Linked DNA regions of Macaca mulatta. The protein of the gene in region 2 interacts with the protein of the main gene of each other region in a biochemical or structural test. Links are inferred from orthologs where the notes say so. Each region holds a gene or a part of one and is shown on either strand. Other genes may lie near its edges. The genes, in order: CTSL, CSTA and CTSB.

Evidence for each region.
Region 1: the proteins of CSTA (region 2) and CTSL form a complex in vitro, tested with the Homo sapiens proteins (2 studies listed by BioGRID). The link is inferred for Macaca mulatta from reciprocal best matches to the Homo sapiens genes CSTA and CTSL.
Region 3: the proteins of CSTA (region 2) and CTSB form a complex in vitro, tested with the Homo sapiens proteins (3 studies listed by BioGRID and IntAct, with this or other methods). The link is inferred for Macaca mulatta from reciprocal best matches to the Homo sapiens genes CSTA and CTSB.

Annotation. Positions count from the first base shown.
Region 1 is NC_133420.1:118,468,545-118,472,664, reverse strand, and holds the start of CTSL (procathepsin L), read right to left. Parts: upstream 2,808-4,120; 5' UTR 2,607-2,807; intron 1,333-2,606; 5' UTR 1,323-1,332; coding exon 1,197-1,322; intron 893-1,196; coding exon 770-892; intron 670-769; coding exon 523-669; intron 339-522; coding exon 114-338; intron 1-113. UniProt on the Homo sapiens protein: Thiol protease important for the overall degradation of proteins in lysosomes. Plays a critical for normal cellular functions such as general protein turnover, antigen processing and bone remodeling.
Region 2 is NC_133407.1:161,426,831-161,430,428, reverse strand, and holds part of CSTA (cystatin-A), read left to right. Parts: intron 1-2,191; coding exon 2,192-2,293; intron 2,294-3,598. UniProt on the Homo sapiens protein: This is an intracellular thiol proteinase inhibitor. Has an important role in desmosome-mediated cell-cell adhesion in the lower levels of the epidermis.
Region 3 is NC_133413.1:9,446,685-9,450,334, reverse strand, and holds part of CTSB (cathepsin B), read right to left. Parts: intron 2,721-3,650; coding exon 2,572-2,720; intron 2,168-2,571; coding exon 1,982-2,167; 3' UTR 1,231-1,981; exon of another isoform or gene 1,218-1,230; intron 987-1,217; exon of another isoform or gene 883-986; 3' UTR 1-882. UniProt on the Homo sapiens protein: Thiol protease which is believed to participate in intracellular degradation and turnover of proteins. Cleaves matrix extracellular phosphoglycoprotein MEPE. Involved in the solubilization of cross-linked TG/thyroglobulin in the thyroid follicle lumen.

The DNA.
Region 1 (4,120 bases), on a different chromosome or scaffold from region 2:
AGCCACCCCACCCAGCCCTAATACATGAATTCCGAAAAAGGTATCTGTTATCTCTGAAAAGTGTTCCACCTCCCAAAAGCTGCGCTGGAATGACGACAAGGAGCTCCACTTACTGTTGCCTCATATGGATAGGATTCCTCAGAGTCCAGGCCTCCATTGTCGGCAACATACTGGAAGGCATAATCCATTAGGCCCCCATTGCAGCCCTCATTGCCTTGAGGCCCAGAGCAGTCTACCAGATTCTGCTCACTCAGTGAGACAAGCTTCCCAGTTTTCCGGAACATCTGTCCTTCAAGAGCACCAGTAGCGCTAAAAGCCCAACAAGAACCACACTGACCCTGAAGAGGGAATAAAAAAAGCTGTCATTCACAAAAAAATAGTAAGACTTTGACAACAGCTCACACATCTGAATACTGTTAAAAAGTGAACCGCACATCGCTTTAAAGTCTACCAAAACAAAGATGTCAATCACTTCTTGGCTTTCCTGGGAAGATGGGAGGTCTGGCCCTGACACTGTCTCACCTGATTCTTCACAGGAGTCACGTAGCCTTTCTCTCTCCAATCCACAGATCTGGGGGCCTCATAAAACAGAGGTTCCTGGAACACTTTCCCCTTCCTGGGTTTACGGTTTTGAAAGCCATTCATCACCTGCCTGAATTCTTCACTGGTCTTCAAGGAAAAGGAAATAAAATGTTGAAAAGCAAGAGATTACTTTAGTAAAGAACTGAGGGGAGGAAGCACAGAGCTCGGCGGTCCACAGCACACTCACCATGTCTCCAAAGGTGTTCATGGCCATTGTGAAGCTGTGTTTCCCTTGGCTGTATTCCTGATTGTGCAGTTCAATCATCTTCATGTTCTTCTCCCACACTGCTCTCCTCCATCCTTCTTCATTCTAGAGGCAAACATGTAACTGATGCTCTTTATTTCTACCTAAAACCCAACTCATGCTCACCAAGTGATTCTGCAGACAGAGATGGAAGAGAAACCACGGCCAGGGAAGGCTTGACACCTCTGGGGATGCTGTTCCCCAAATTGAGACAGAAAAGGGATGAATGCCCATACTGTGCTCATAATCGGTGCCATTAGGTTATTATATTAGGCTACTGGTGAAAGCTGGCCTCTAGAAGCTACTCTCTGTCTAAAACTTCTCAACAGCCAAGACTATTTTTTCTGGGGAAGTTTCAGATACCACTAACCATGCCGTATAATCTGTTGTGCATCGCCTTCCACTTGGTCCACTGTGCCTCTAAACTGTGATTAAATGTTAAAGTAGCTGAGGCAATTCCCAGGCAAAAGGCAGCGAGGATGAATGTAGGATTCATGTTTCAAAACCTAGGAAGGGAAAAGAAATGAGGATCTGATTAGACTGATCCTAAAAAGCAATCTTACTGCCCCTTGAAAAATTAGGGCCACCATCGTAGAATAAAAATATTTAAATTATCCTTCCAAGCATTTACCCAAGGACTGTGGAAGAGGCCAAGGATGTGCCTGGAGAAAAACAGGGCACATGGAGGTGCTGGATGGACCCACCAAAATGAAAAGCAGCCCGGCTAGAGCTGTAAGAGTTTAAACAGTTTATGGGATGATAATTTAGGTTATGAGAAAGGTATGAAAGCACCTTGTGGGTGAGAAGCTTAAGGCAACAACTAGGAAACCAGGAAACAGTTGATCCAGGTTTTGTACCAATGGCAAAAATCCCAGGTTTTGTGCCCAGGCAAAACCTCAATAATGATAAGGTGGGATTCCCAAGTAGTGACAAAGAGATCCCCAAGAATTAGGAGGCCTTCACACATCTTCTTGACTAACAAACAGCTGAAGCTGAGATATGTTTTCCAACCTCTCCGTTTTTGTTTTTTTGAGATGGAGTCTTGCTCTGCCGCCCAGGCTGGAGTGCAATGGTGCGATCTGAGCTCACGGCAACCTCCGCCTCCCGGGTTCAAGCCATTCTTCCTCAGTCTCTTGACTAGCTGGGACTACAGACGTGTGCCACCTTGCCTGTCTAATTTTGTATTTTTAGTAGAGACGGGGTTTCACCATGTTGGCCAGGCTGGTCTCGAACTCCTGACCTCAGGTGATCCGCCCACCTCAGCCTCCCAAAGTGCTGGGATTACAGGCGTGAGCCAGCGTGCCTGCCCCAACCTCTCCTTAAAAGAAACCCTTCTGAAATGCTTTCCCAGGAAAAACTGGGAGGGACAGCACACACTGCTCCCTCCTTCACTCACCTGGGCCTGTGCTGCCGACACCCCAAATTGCTCCCCTAAATCAGGGACGGGGTCATATGGCCGCACGCGGGAAGCCAGCGCCCCGCAGCCAGCTGCCAGGGCTCCAGGCGTGGCAAGGCCGGGGACGTGACGCCTGCGCCACACACAGGCTGCAGCGGTCAGAGGATGTTTGCGGTGACGCCAGCAGGAGCACCGCTGTCTGGCGTGCGGGAACTGAGCTTCCCTGTCTGACCGGGCCAGGCCATGAGTCGGCGCGGCGCGGCCTGGCTGCGGTACCTGTGTCCACCCGGCTCGGAGGCTAGCCTGCCCGCTCAACCAGGGACCCCGCCTGCGTGGTCTCCGCGCTTCCGCGGGGTCCTTAATTGCCCTCCCCCGCTTCCCCACCTTAAGGCCGGCAGAGCTCAGGGCAGACGCTCTCGTTGCCAGGGCTGGTGCACAACTCCTCGACCGCGTCCTCTCTTCCAGTCCCTGTCCGGCCCCAGCTGGGCCTGGCCGGCAGCGCTTTCCTGCTGCGGTCGTAGCTGCGCAGGCGCACTCCACGGATGCCGCTCTTGAGGTTGCGGAGGTCGCGGAGGTCGCGGTTCTGGCCCAGCTTCGCCCGACTCTGCCTCTAAAACCTCGGGTCTGGGCTCCGCCGGCACCGCCCCACCGCCTGGCTGCGCTACGATTGGCTGTGCCGGCAGCTGGGCGGGGCCTCTGGGTACTCTGACCCCTGGCGCTGTTCGTGGCTTGTTTACTGACTGTCCCAGAGCGGGGCGCGCCTGCCTCAGTGGACTTGGGGGAAGCGGAGCTGGTACCCCGAGGCTGCGCAGAGTAGGGTCGGGCGTCTCCCTGGAGCGCTCGAATCAACTAAGTACCCGACTTACTGCACTGGGCAGGTGGCTCCTGAAAAGACGTTTACAGCAAGCCCAGTATGGACTTTCAGCCTAACCTAGCTTTTCCTTAGTCCTGGAATCTTTGGTCCGCATAGCCGAGAGCCAGTGTACTCTAGTCCAGTGGCTCCTGTTTAGTCCACAGCAAAGGTGGGGCCGGGTGGAAGAACGCAGAGCCCGCGGGCAGAAGCCTTATCTCCCACTTAAGGGTGGGTGCAGCTGGGCTTTAGAAGAATCTGGTAGGGAAAGGCGTCCCCAAAACACGAGATGCTATCGTCAAGACCAGACCCTAGGAGGGAGAAGACTGGCTGCGTCTCCAGAGAGCGCGGGCGTTTTGTCAAGCATCCTTTCCAGACTCCTCCATTCAGAGATTCTTCTTTCTCCCACGTCTTTCCCAAAACCAACAGAAAGGAGTTATTTACAGAAACATTTGGTTGACAGGAGAAAAGCAGTTGATAACATTAGAAGCTGCTTTTATTCGCCCACTCTCTAGGTTATGGATTATATCTTCCTTGGTAACCAAGTCGTTCTCTTGAGATTTAAGAAATTTAATGACATTTAATGTCAGGATTTAAGATACAGAGAATGCAGAAATGTTGTAGATAGAGGAAAAATATGTATCTTAATCTAATGTATATATTAATTTATATAATTAAGCATTTAACGAACAAAACCCACAAACATTCTAAACTTTTGTCATTTTATTTTTTTATTACATAAAAACATTCGTCGTAGAAAATACCTTTCGGGGAAAAAATAATTACCTCTGCCTTTTCCCCCATAACCTTTTCGTATGCATATTTTGACTTTGTGAAAAATGAAGTCATTGTGTATTTCTGTTTGTCAGTTGAGTTCTACTGAAGATTAAACTGATAACTCTTTTAGAAGCACAATCACCGATAATTTTTTAAGTGGTAAAATATACCTAACGTAACAAGTACCATTTTAACCAATTTTGAATTCAGAGGCATTGAGTACGTTCACGTTGGGTAACCATTACTACTGTTTATCCCCAGAGCTTTTTTA
Region 2 (3,598 bases):
ACCACAGGGTCTTTATTAGAACTATACCCAAATACTGCACTCTAATTAGTATATTGTTTTCCACAGGGGTATAGGTCAGCAATTCTGAAATTATTTTATGTATACGCTAGAACTGAACAAATAGGCAAATACATTGCAAATAATAAGAACCAGGATTCTTCCTCAGCGTTTGAGAAAGGAGTTATAATAAGGAAACGGGAAAAGCTAAATAAGTCCTGTGGTATTTGATTTTTAAAATTTTATCTATTTATTTATTTATTTTATTTTATTTTATTTTATTTATTTTTTTTTTTTTTGAGGCGGAGTTTCACTCTTGTTGCCCAGGCAGGAGTGCAATGGTGTGATCTCATCTCACTGCAACCTCCGCCTCCCAGGTTCAAGCGATTCTCCTGCTTCAGCCTCCTGAGTAGCTGGAATTATAGACACCCAACACTGTGCCCGGCTCATTTTTGTATTTTTAGTAGAGAAGGGATTTTATCATGTTGGTCAGGCTGGTCTCAAACTCCTGACCTCAAGTGATCCACCCACCTCGGCCTCCCAAAGAGCTGGGATTACAGGCATGAGCCACCACGCCCGGCCGTGGTATTTGATTTTAATCAGAGGAAAAAATATATATATGTGTGTGTGTGTGTGTATATACATATACATATACACACACACACACACATATATACACATATATATATACACACATGCACATACACACACATACCCATACACACACATATAAAATGACACACACATAAATGTGTGTATATGCACACACATACAAATGAGTAAAGATGTGTGCACATGTGTGTGAGTACACATATTATTTTGTAGCCCTTTCCATTGAGTGGGCCTAGAAGCAATGACATCTAGTAACAAGAGACACAGCACCCAAATCTTGGGTCTTAAATACCATTCTCCAATAAAAGGAGTGGGGACTCCTTGGAGAAATAGTTGATTCCAGCGAGGAGGCAAGGAAACTTCAAGATAAACCTGGAACATCTGACTCTACTTGTGTAGAGTCAGAAAGTTAGGAAGTGCTTATAAAATGATAGAGGTGTGTTGAAAGGACACGGGCATCAGGTGAAGGAGCTCCCAATGGCCAAATCTAGGACATTTGAGTAACAAAATAAAGAGTAATGAATTGTAATCCACAGAGTAAAATAAATATCCATGAGTCATATTAACATAAAATAAGTAATTGACTACATGAAGAGAAGAGAACAGCTCTTCCTTACAGTAGAATTGCAAATAATAAATGTACAAGAAATTACTTTTTAAATTACCATTTGGCCAATACCACAATTAATCATTGTTGTGGGCAAGAACCGTCAATGGATGCTAAAATTCATGAATGCAAGTACAGCGAGAAACAAGACTCCTCACAAGACACTAACTAATTACAAAGGGAAAAAAATGGTAACTTTACAGTGGAGAAACCTGGCAGACATCCTAAGTGATCAAAATTAACATCACCAGTAATGAAATGTAGCTCCTGATAGGATGCACTTAAGCACAACATCACTTTTGTGCTATCCTTACAAAAATGTGTAATACTAACATAAGAGGAGATCACACAAACCTAAACTGAGGGACATTCTACCATTTAACAGGCCAGTATTCTTCAAAAACATCAAGGTTGTGAACAACAAAGGAATGAACCCAGATTGGAGCAGAAAAGAGACATTTTCAGGATAACTGGCAAAATTCTGATAAGGTTTAGAGACTACTTAATAGTGATATACCATGTTAATTTCCTGATTTTGGTGATTATACTATGTTATGTAAAATGGCAAAATTAGGGGAACTGTAAATGATATAAGAGAATTCATTATACTAATTTTACAACTTTTAAGTCTGAAATTATTTTAAAATAATGTTTTAATCAAGTAGTAATTATTGCTCTACTGATTTTTGTTAATCAAAGATATATATAACTCTTAGAGTTTAACAGTCAAAATGCTCCTATATTGCATTACCACACTGAGTTTATGTGAATTCAGCCTAAAGCAACAAAATTTGATGTTTTAACCTATGTAATTGTATTAAAATAGGTGTTTTCTATTGAAATAATAAAAATAGCTCATAGATTTCATTACCATCTTTGAAGACTTTTAGGAGGATGAGGTTCCCAGATGTGTACGTCACATAGATGGAGTCTAATATAGCTTTGATTATTTGTTTCCTCTTTTCTTTTCTTTAGGTTAAACCACAGCTTGAAGAAAAAACAAATCAGAGTTATGAAAAATTGGAAGCTGTGGAGTATAAAACTCAAGTCGTTGCTGGAATAAATTACTACATTAAGGTTAGAGTTCAGTACCTACTTTAGCGCCAAAAGATCTATTTCTCATTTTATGTAAAATGTTCCCTGATTTCCCTACCATATAATTGCTTCCTTACAGTTGTCCTAAATTAAGATGCCTAGCATGATTCCTTCCAAGTGGTAGACTCTCAAATTTGGTAAATGATGTGATGCCATTTTTTTTCTTGTGAATTCAGAAAGCTTTATTACATTGATTCTTGATTTCTGGAAATTGTATAGAAAAAGATTTCAGAACAGTTCAGGGCATGCTGGATTTGTGGCTGTGCTGCTTCTTAGGTAAGGAGGGAGGATCACGTCTCATCTGCCTGAAGGCGTGGGGCTGGACCACATGGTATCTTGAAGCCGATTCCACCTCAAAGCTGTATGATTCTATATGTCTAAATTAAATAAATTAAAGTAACGACTCAAATCATTAGCTGGGAAAATAATTTAAACCTTTTTTGTCCTTTAAATAAGCATTTTGATTAATATAATGTAAATATTATTTTGTAATTCAAATTAGTAGATTTAACTTATGGCACTCTAGGTATAGTTTAAAGCAGTGGAGTAGTTAAAATAGTTTAAAAGTTAATTATATAGCTCTGTCAGAAAATTACACGATGCATTGATCCAGTTCTAATTGAAGTTACCAAGATGAAACCAACTGAACAAGTCAACCATGAATATTTAAGAGCCATTTTTGTCCTTATGTATTAAGAAGATGATAATTCTGATTTTAAAAATAAAAACAAATATTAAAGTATGTTTACTTAATCTTTACTTAACCATTCGACCAGGGCACAGTGTGGCTTATTTCTCTTTAACAAACAATTCAATTAAAATATAAACATTTTAAAAGACGTTTTCAGCAAAAAATAAACATAAGTAAGTGGAGCTAGTCAGCTTAGCATAAGAAAGTTTCAGTACCGAGCTATGTATATGGATCAGCCCTGTTCTGCCAAATGTGAGCTCCTAGTAAAGACCAGGTCACATGTCACAGGGAGCTTTGACCAGGTCACGGGGAGACACATGTCACAGAGGACCCTGCTGTATCCTCAGAAAACAATGGCACCATTTCCTCCATTTTCAATCTGATTTCTTCATGGCTGGAAAAGAACGTTTTCCTGTTAAAAATGATTATGTGCAAAGATAGGAAGCATTCCATCAACATTAGAATATTTATTTTAATAATTTATGATTAATTCAAATGCATACATTTCACGTTACCACATATTACATTTCACATATTACCGCATATTACCAGCTCACATGTCTCTTCAACATTTCATCAGACAATTATCTTGAAAA
Region 3 (3,650 bases), on a different chromosome or scaffold from region 2:
CTCTGCACAGTTCTTTCCAAGAACTGCTGTAACAGGATTCTAAACCAGGGCTATGCAAAGCACTGGAGTTCTTGACCAGCAATGCAAACCAGTGGTATACAAATTCAAAATACTGTATACAGGCTCTGACGCCAGCCCAAACCAAGACTGGAGGGCATCCAGGGGGATGTGGTTCTCCACGGGATGGCATCTTGGTTATGTGAGATCACCAAGACACCAGGCCTATTTTATGAGCTGAATCCTCAGGCTGCTACTGGATTTGTGGCTGATAAAAAAGAGAGGCCAGGCATGGTGGCTCACGCCTGTAATCCCAACACTTTGGGAGGCCGAGGCAGGTGGACCACCTGACGCCAGGAGTTTGAAACAAGCCCGGCCAACATGGTGAATATCGTATCTACTTAAAAATACAAAAAGTAGCCTGGCATGGTGGTGAGTGCCTGTAATCCCAGCTACTCGGCAGGCTGAAGCAGGAGAATCACTTGAACCTAGGAGGCCGCAGGTTGCAGTGAGCCAAGATGGCGCCACTGTACTCCAGCCTGGGCGACAGACAGAGATTCTCTCAACAACAACAAACAGAGCACAGCTGTGTTGTTAGTTCTTAAGCAAGGGCAAGCTTACCAAGGACTTAGAAGGTTGACGAGGACGACAGGGAACTAAGAGGGAGGGATGCCATGGTTGAAAACATGGCTGAGGCAGCGAGAAGTTAAGATGAGATCCCAAGAGTCGCAAGAACATGCAGTTCCAGGACGTAATTCTCTGCAGGGATGAGGATAGACGGCAGCCACAAGTCTATAGGCAGTGACAAATGATCTCTGAGATCCCATCAGAGTCGATTTCAAGATGAAGGAGAAACCTTTTATTGGCACAGGCATTCCTTGTTAACTTGACAGGGTGAAGCAGTAATTCTTTTTTTTTTTTTTTTTTTTTTTTTTTTTTTTTTTTTTTTTTTTTTTTTTTTGAGAAGGAGTCTGGCTCTGTCGCCCAGGCTGGAGTGCAGTGGCCGGATCTCAGCTCACTGCAAGCTCCGCCCCCCGGGTTTACGCCATTCTCCTGGCTCAGCCTCCCAAGTAGCTGGGACTACAAGCGCCCGCCGCCTCGCCCGGCTAGTTTTTTGTATTTTTTTAGTAGAGACGGGGTTTCACCGTGTTCGCCAGGATGGTCTCGATCTCCTGACCTAGTGATCCGCCCGTCTCGGCCTCCCAAAGTGCTGGGATTACAGGCTTGAGCCACCGCGCCCGGCCAGCAGTAATTCTTAAAAAACAGTAAAAGCTGGTTTCTCCTAAACTAGCTTCCTTGTGGTGGTAGAGACCAGTGGGTCAGAAACAAGTCCTCACCACTTGGTTTCGTTTTGAGCCGCGCCATTAGGAGGCAATCTGTACAACTAGCACAGGTGCTCCCAGCTGTTCGACTCACTCACCCACATGATTAGCAGAGTGCACAAAAGAGAAGACTTCTATTAAAAAAGTATCATGCTGAGCACAAGATCAGAGAAGTTGTGACACTGCAAACTCGATAGATGCAGGGGGTCTGGGAGAATGTGGCGTTCTCCAAAGGGCTCCCAACACCATCTCTCCTCTGATCTTATAGCAAATGTGGAAAGCTACTTGCTTAGAGGTACTGGGGGCAACTGATGGGGGGACTTTCATCCTGTTAGGAACTCCGCTTTCCATTCCTGGGTCTCTGTCTTGCTCCCTGGAGATGGATGGATCGGGGAGGGGGCCACAGTCAGGTGGGGCAGCAGGCACTCCCTGTGGCACTGGTCTATAGGGGGAGGACGTGCTGTGCTGGCAGCAGTGGCTCACATGGCCTAACTGTCTGCACTGTAACCACAGGCTGGGATGTAGCCAGGATTTGGGATGTCTCCCCTTGGAAGACAGCTCTGATGGCTGATGTGAGGTTTGGCCAATCCAGTCCTTCAAGCCCTGTCTAAAACTTGTATCTTACGTGAACTCAAAGAATAAAAGGCATTTCTACCCCCATCTCACCCCGATCCCTGACTGTATTCAGGGAAAACTCCCCCAGGCCTGGCAGGACAGGCCCACAGCAGATTAGATCTTTTCCCAGTACTGATCGGTGCGTGGAATTCCAGCCACCACTTCTGATTCGATTCCACAGTGATCCTGTCCTCTGAGGATTTTAAAGAAGCCTGGGAATAAAAAGTAAGGTGCTTTTTAAGTGTGACAAGGGTCAATCAATATATTCAGACTCATCCCTAAAAGACCTGGGAGTAACCACCAATCCCTGGCAGCTCCTGCTGTTTGCCCAGTAGCATAGCCCTCAGCACCATGAGGCTTCTGGAGGCAGCTGTGGGGCACACCTCCACTGACAACCCTCCTGCCCCGTCACCGCCCCCATCACGGCATCTGGCGCGATGCTGTGGGAACTGTGGCAGGCGTGGGCTCTGAAGCTGCTCGGGGTCTGCCCTTGCAGCAAAAGGAAACTCCTGGGTGCCTGGCACATAGGAGGAGCTCACAGCCTGGCCTTAGGTCTAGGGTTTGAGGCTGTGCAGCAGGTAGAACAGAGAAAGCCGAGACGGGCACTGTGTGTGGCTCACAATTCCCTGTTCTCGACAGGAAGGGGCCGCCACTCACCATTGTCACCCCAGTCAGTGTTCCAGGAGTTGGCAACCAGCCAGTATGGTGTGCCGTTCTCCACTCCCCAGCCCAGGATGCGGATGGCATGGCCGCCCATCATCTCTCCGGTGACGTGTTGGTACACACCTGAAAAGAACCGGCTGAGACCAAGACCAGGCCACTGGCCCGCACCCCACAGTACCCCCCACACTCCGCTGGTCACCCTCCGGGCAGGAGAAACAGCTTCCAGAGGGACCCTGCTGCTCCATCAGAAGGCTCCAGGGTTACCACAACACTGGGGAATATTAAATATATTTCTGAAGGCCCAACACACTCAAATCTGTTGAGTAAATATTAAAATAGATTCCTACAAAATGTGCTTGTTGGTTGTCTTTAAAAATAGAATTTCTAATACATTCTAGTTTGTAAAACATTTAATGTTAGGTGACAGATTCATCTGCTCTATACACTGGGATTCCATCTAAGTAAGGGTTTGTCAGAAGGGTTACACGGCTTAAAGAGTTTTAACAGCTGCTCCAGGTACACCCTGGAGAGGTGAGGGAGAAGGGCGGGCTGGTGGCGGCCAGTGCTGGCTGATGAGAAAGATACCGGCTAAGGGGTTCAGGACTCCCCAACCAGTCTCCTGTGGTAGGGAAATCACTATCAAAGTGGAAACACATCTTTTAATAATATGGGCAAGGACTGTGCTAAGAACTACCATCTTTACAGTCATTTTTTCTTGCCAGAATCATCCTCCTTTGTCAAACTGTTGTTTTATATAGAGCTGAGAGCTTTGGAGTTTCCCATCTAGCAAAATATTAAAGAGATCGATGCAGTCAGCAAAGACCGTTCATCTGGAGCAAGGGATTTCTAAGACAGGACTTGGGGATGGGGACTGTCCAGATTCCTTGGTTCGAGTCCCTACAGCACTGCCCAGGGCAAGGTCCCTGCGTGTTCATCCACTGGTGTGAGGCATGATCTAGGCCTTTGCAAAGACAAAGATGAAGAAAATGTGCCAGCCAGTGCAGATACAAAAGGCCTGCCGTTTTAACGGGAACATGCTGGTAAAGCAATGCA